Regions from separate parts of the Mus musculus genome. Here region 2 is reported to be linked to region 1. Evidence: microRNA targets listed by miRTarBase, many of them from high-throughput screens and not tested one by one. Region 1 holds a microRNA gene; the other region holds the end of a gene's coding sequence.

Evidence for each region. The annotated mature microRNA mmu-miR-376a-3p reads AUCGUAGAGGAAAAUCCACGU and lies in region 1 at 1,485-1,505, opposite strand. An mRNA with a match to its seed (bases 2 to 7 or 8) in the 3' UTR can be bound and repressed. Matches are read on the target gene's strand: a 7mer-m8 pairs with bases 2 to 8, a 7mer-A1 pairs with bases 2 to 7 and ends in A, and an 8mer does both.
Region 2: miRTarBase lists Pcna as a target of mmu-miR-376a-3p. The part of its 3' UTR that is shown has no 7-base or 8-base seed match.

The regions. Positions count from the first base shown.
Region 1 is chr12:109,722,076-109,725,328 of GRCm38, reverse strand. Mir376a (microRNA 376a) reads right to left here and starts at 1,548; the gene lies at 1,481-1,548. It overlaps Mir376c (microRNA 376c), which reads right to left and starts at 2,611; the gene lies at 2,526-2,611. Mir654 (microRNA 654) reads right to left here and starts at 2,111; the gene lies at 2,028-2,111. It overlaps Mir376b (microRNA 376b), which reads right to left and starts at 1,871; the gene lies at 1,790-1,871. It also overlaps Mir300.
Region 2 is chr2:132,246,851-132,250,103 of GRCm38, reverse strand. Pcna (proliferating cell nuclear antigen) reads left to right here. Exons shown (of 6, transcript NM_011045.2): 5 at 207-330; 6 at 409-818. The coding sequence ends at 488. It overlaps Tmem230 (transmembrane protein 230), which reads left to right and starts at 2,316. Exons shown (of 4, transcript NM_027478.3): 1 at 2,316-2,531.

The sequences.
Region 1 (3,253 bases):
CAAAAGACTAGGGTGGGGCATGGGAGGATGGGCATGGGGTGGGGTGGGGGTGGGGATTCTGTGTAACTTAACAAAAAAGTGACAGAGAATGATTGGCATTCCAGAGCCTGCAAAGCCACCCTGGCAAGAAAGCCTCCACCTGTGCCCACAGCTGCAGCCTCCAGGAAGTCCTCCAGATGGTCATCGAAAGAGCAGGATTAGTACGCACAGCAACATGCATCATTCAAGAAAGAAGAAAAACCGGAAAACTAGCTCTCTGAAAGCCCCCACCCTCTTCCCCAAACTGGAGCAGTATGGAGACCTCTGGACCTTCCTTCTGCCCTTCTTGGGGAGTTCAGAGGACTATGGGAGACTTATCACTATAAACATCAGACCCATGCAAGGCTCACCGGAGGGAGGTGAGATGCCCCACCTCCACCCGACCCCCAGAACCAAGGTTCTTTAGACAACCTTAACATAAATTCATGCTGTGACACACAAGGTGAAGAGGACACCTGGAGAAGGAGGCTTAATGGTCTTGGTAGCCTCTGGGAGCATCTTTACTTTGGATATCCACCAACCCCCTTTCCCTTAAGTGGATGGGAAGCCTTAAAGGTGATTGTAAGGACAGGTTGGCAATGGTGGGCAGAAAACCCACATCTAAATGGGCACTGGCTTGCTGCTGACACTCTTTTGGCCTTAGAAGACGACCTGGCATGCACACCACACTGCGAAGGGCTGTCAGAAGGGGAGGCACAGTTTCCTAGGCTCTACCAAGAACAGCCCTTAGGATCAGCATTTTTTTCTAGAAAGTTCTCAGAAGCATGTGTGAGATCTGTAGGGTCAGACGAAGAAGGAGCTCAAGCTCGGTGGCCCACCATGCATTTACTTACCCTGGAGAGACCACACCCTTCTGCTAGGCCCAGGCCGCCGCCAGCCATGCTTCCAGGCAGCATTTGCTCCTCGAAGAGAGCTTGCCCTTGCATATTCATTTCGCGTAAAGCAAACACACAAAGGATAACCTCTCTTCAAGTAGCAAACGATAAGGAGCGCTGGGGAGAGCTGGTCCGGTGCGATGACAGATGCGATGACGGTCCGGATGTGAGCCTGAGGGGGCACATTTGGAGGTTACACTTCCAGATGATTCACATGCCCCCCCTTCTCCGCACACCCCCCAAAGGGTTACCCAAGGCGCCCTTACCCAAAATGATGGCCCACCCAGGAGCTCTCCAAGACATATCGCTACAGAAAAAAGAAGCCGACTCCAGAAAACATACACATGGTGAGCACACAGAGAAACAACTTCATTTGAGGTCAGAGAAGGGATATAAAGAACACAGTGGTCTCAGAACACATCACTGGGAGAGGCTGGCATATAGGCACACATCACACAAGTCACAAATCTATCTATCCCCGCCAAGCCCAGGAAGACGACGGATAGCACGCTTTCTTCGGTGAAGATGTCATGTCCTCGGTGGTTTCCCAAGCAGCATTTGATACTGAAAACGTGGATTTTCCTCTACGATTAGTCATTAATATTGTACTCATAGAAGGAGAATCTACCTTTTAAATATCAAAGAACAACTCGATCCAGGATGCTGTGAGCTTGTGCTTGTGTCGACAGAAATGGAAGTCCACTGGGCAGAGTGAGCAGGCTGCCCAAAGAGGCGGTATATCAGACCCAGATCAGACTAACACTCAGTTGGCTTCTTAAGGCCATTTCTGGCCACGCCCCACTCATTATTACATGATCTTCCCCCCCAGCCCCAGACCCTACAGAATCTTCCAGAAATAGTTCCAGAGCGACATTTGATACTGAAAAAGTGGATGTTCCTCTATGATTATCCAGGAAGCACGTAACCATAGAAGGAATATCCACCTTTTAAATACCAAAGAAGGACTGAGTTCCGGGAAGGACCAGGCTTGCTGCTTGGCTCATCTGAAACAGATTACAAGACAAAAAAAAAAAAAAAAATCCCCGCTTCTCAGGCAGAGGAAACAGAATGTTGAAAGGCGCCTCGGCCTCTGTGCCAAGCTGGCTCCACAGGCAGAGACCCAAAGGTGATGGTCAGCAGACATATGACATGAGAAACACACATGTTCTGCAGCTTACCATCTTCCCACTTACCGAGGAGGGCACTGCGCCCAGCCTCATCTCCCTGGTGGATCATGTCACCCAGGAAGCACATGAGACTCAAAACTCAGGCAAACCCATCAGATTGACCAGCAAACATAAAACCACAGAAGGGAAATCTACCTTTTAGATATCAGACTTAAACTCTTGGGACATCCAATAGGACAGTCCTATCTGCGACAGAAGGGACACAATGGGAAAGACTTGTTAGCTGTGGGGGATTCCAGAACGAGACCCCTGACCTCTGGCTGAGTTGGCAGCCCATGAGGGAAGCTCTCAAGATTGCTCATTGGCCCTTGGGCACCTGAGGACATGCTCTGTGGACCACTGACCCCCCACTTACCCAAGAGGGTGCACCTGTCCTGTCACTGCCCTGGTGGTGGCTTCAGCTCAGGCCCATTACCCAGCAGCATTTGACACTGAAAACGTGAAATTTCCTCTATGTTTAATCACAAAAAGCATAAACATAGAAGGAATATCCACCTTTTAAATACCAAAAGATTTAGTCCTGAAGAGAAAGAGCCGAGGCCTAATCCGTCAGAAATGAAGAAGGCAGCAGACAGGCGCCCTCGGCACAGCCCCCAGAGGACACAGATTCCAGGAACAACCTGGCTGTGGAAAGCACAGGCTGTGGAACCCATCTCTCCCTTTGTTCTCTGGGTGGGGGAAGACTGGAATAACCTGCTTTGTCCTAGGGGGCACTTTGTATTCAGAAACATCCCAGAACCACTTGAGATACTGAAAATGTGGGTGTTACCTCTATGATTAACCAGAGGCATAGAGGAGCACTCACCTTTTGAATATCAGAAAGTGAGCGACAGAAGTGTATCTAGAGCCCACCGTACAGTTAAACATAGCCCTGGTTGTCACACAGCCTAGTAGGGAGTTACTGTAAACCCCCACCCCCTCTTAGAGAGTTTATGACAAGAAATCTGTTCCCTTGTGATTTCCAAAACCAGTTCCACACCCATACAGCCCATCCTGGGTACCCTTGGGAGAGATGTCATCAAGGTGGCTGCTGGGGCATCCACGTAGGTGCCACGGAGCACTGGAGACATCAAGGAAGTTTTCTAGGAAATGGGCTAAGTCCAGAAGGCTCCAACACACAGGCTCAATGCATTAGTGTGACACTGTTGGGGA
Region 2 (3,253 bases), not on the chromosome of region 1:
AATCTGAATAGGAACAACTTTCTCCTTTGTTTTGATTGCTTGGGGTGTGGCTCTACAGGATGGGCAAGCTAGACTTTTTTCTTCTTTAGTCAAGGTTTTCATCAACCCTTCCAAAATGATAACTATTTGTTTTGCTTTGTGGTATAATACCGTGATCTAATAGTGTGAGTTTCTGATGTCTACAGTGAGCCTGTTTTCTCCTCTAGGTAACCATAGAGATGAATGAGCCTGTTCACCTAACGTTTGCTCTGAGGTACCTGAACTTTTTCACAAAAGCCACTCCACTGTCTCCTACAGTAACACTCAGTATGTCTGCAGATGTGCCCCTTGGTAAGATGATAAGTTTGAACATTGTTTTGTAATGTGGTATTTATAGTATTCGGTGGTTTAATTTTTCCTGTCTTTCAGTTGTAGAGTATAAAATTGCTGACATGGGACACTTAAAGTATTATTTGGCTCCCAAGATTGAAGATGAGGAAGCATCTTAGGCATTGCTAGAAATTGAGAAAACTAAACCTTTGAAGATTGCTCCTGAGATGCCAGCGTGTCCTGAGGTCTTTTCTGTCACCAAGTTTGTACCTGAGTATTCTTAAATATTAAAATAAAATATGTAGATATCTTCTGTAAATAACCTACTTTCTTTTCTCTCCATTCTCCATAATTTGCTTAAAGAATAAGCTCCAAAGTAAAAACTAGTTTTGTTAACATGAATGTTTCTGCTTTACAAATACTGGTGATTTTCATCAATGATCTTGACGCTAAATGCAGTTTTAAGAAATATTGTTCAATTTAAATAAAGTTAACAATTTGAAAAGTCATAGAGCAGTGCCGCCTTTGTACCATGGCTACTGAATAGTTATACCCTGTTAGGTAAATGGGCTTTTGTTCTCTCTTCCATCGTGGAGATAGCAATAAAAAAATGTTTCTCTTGAGTTTATGTAATTACGTTGTGCAAAGTTTTCTGGTAGCCTTGTTTGGGATGTAGCTCTTTTAAAATACAACTTTAATGGCAGTGCAGGGGGTGGGGTGGATAAATCTCTCCCTAGGCCAACCAGGACTACATACAGTCCATCTTGAGTGAAGCAAAGGCCCAAACTTCGTGGCTACTTGATCCAAGAAGGGTTAAAAAGGCCCTGTGGTTTTGATCATGATATGCTACATAAAACTAAAGAATATTTGAGTATATTTATTGTGTATGTGTGAGGCTCATGTGGGGGTCAGGACAATTTTATAGGAATTGGTATACCCCAGCACCCTGGCTTCCAGGGGTTGAATGAAGTTCTTCAAGCTTGGTGACAAATTATCCTACCTCCCCTCTCAGTTTTTATGTGTGTGTGTCTTTTGCAGGTATGAGTGAGCATGCGTGTGTTAACCTGGTTTGGTGTGGGGAACCATTTTCAGTTCTTGCTATATTTCAGCAGGATCTCAAACCATGGCTAGTATAGAGCCTGTTTGCTCTGTTCCGGGAGGCCACATTTGAAGGCCTTTAAATACTAAGCTCTATCTGTGGACCCCAAGATATTTTTCCTTTGTATTTCATGTTTGACAGTATGTAGACAATACAGCTTTGTTCTGGGAGGTTGTTGGTTAGAGCTCATGCCTAGTAGCTACAACTGTTCAATACTTTGAGCCAATTAAGTGCAGAAGGAAGTAGCCTGCAAATACTGCTCTCAGAGAACTCTGGAGTGGTGGGAATGCTTTATCAAGACGTCACTTTCATGAGGATGAATGTTAGAACTCAGCTGTGTCTGGTAGGTAGGACACTTACCTGGGTAGTGTTTAATAATCAGGTAGTAATAACAAGATTTTGGGGCTGTGAGAACGCTAATTAGTGAGTGGTGACCAGTGTCAGCATAGGGGTGTTTAGGACAGGGCAAGATTCCTGGTGGGTATCCCTTGTCCACCCCTCTGGATACCCAGGACTCTGCTGTGCACCGATGTGGCCATGGGGTCAGGACTGGAACCTCAACAGTTTTGCTGTGAACTCGATCCTGGTGGGTGAGACCCTAAGTACGCGCCCGCCCACCCTATGGAGGTAGCAGGTCCTGGTCACCAGGGCAAAAGCAAGCCGCTACCCGGTTGAGCATGGTGGCATTCGCCATTTGTCCCAGGCAAACCTTATGTTCGAGGCCAGCCTAATCAGCATCCTGAGTTCCAGGACAGCCTGCGCTACGTAAAGAAACGCTACCAAACATAAAACAAGACAGCAATGAAGCCCTCCAGCCATGTGCCCTGGAAGCAAGATTCGATGACACGATTTCCTGGTGACAGCACTTCCGGTGCGCCTCTATCCGCCACGTCACTTCCGCTGGGCTGTCCTTAAGACCGCCCCTTCCGCTTGGCTGTTGAGCGAGCCTTGCGAGCGCGCCTAACGGAGAACGGGGAGCGCAGCGCGGGTAGGGGGCGGGCGCGCGCTCCCGGAAGCCAGCCGCGAGACCTGGCCCTGCCACCGAGGCTGCTTCCCGGAGACAGTTAGTTCACGTTGGCGGCGGCGGAGGGCGACGAGAGGTTGTCCACAGCGCCACGCTTAGGTCCTTGTGGGCCCGGGAGGGTGGGCAGAAATCGTGGTGGGGCCGGTAAAAAGTGTAGCAGAAACTTGGGCTGATAGTTTTTTAAGTTGTCATTTACTATGTGATAACGCCACTCTAGAATCCCTTGCTAAGAAAAACAAATCTTCCCATTTCGTTGTCGTGCTGCAACGTTTTTGTTTTGGTGCGAGTTTATAAGTGGAAAGTACATAACTTTATAACTTGTAATACAAATCAGGCATGGTTTAATGCTTCGAAAATCCTGCTTATTGGTAGCTTCAACTTTTAGATATGAGGAATTAAACATGTTATGGGATGGCAACATCAAAAACCTAGTACCTAAGGTTTAGAAATGTAAATGGATTCCCGTTGCTCCTTTTTAGTACTTCTGAACTAGGATGTAATTAACCAAAACGCAGAAACACTTGACACCAGTTTTTTGCATGCTAGTTACTTAAGGTCGACTGTAATACCAGTGTCTGGCAGCTCATTAAGATCGAAAAAATATCACATGCCATTGTGGAGATTATGTGCAAAACATCACACCAGTGAAGGCCACTTAGTTTTCTTCTTAAAGATGGACTTTTTGCGTTTAGAATTCAAATGCCATTGCAAATAAAATAGTCTGTTTTGTTTACATAATTGTATGACTTTATAAAGAATCCACACATTTCATTTATGGTAGGGGAGAGTGTCTGGTCTTCCTATGTTGCCCAGACTGGCCT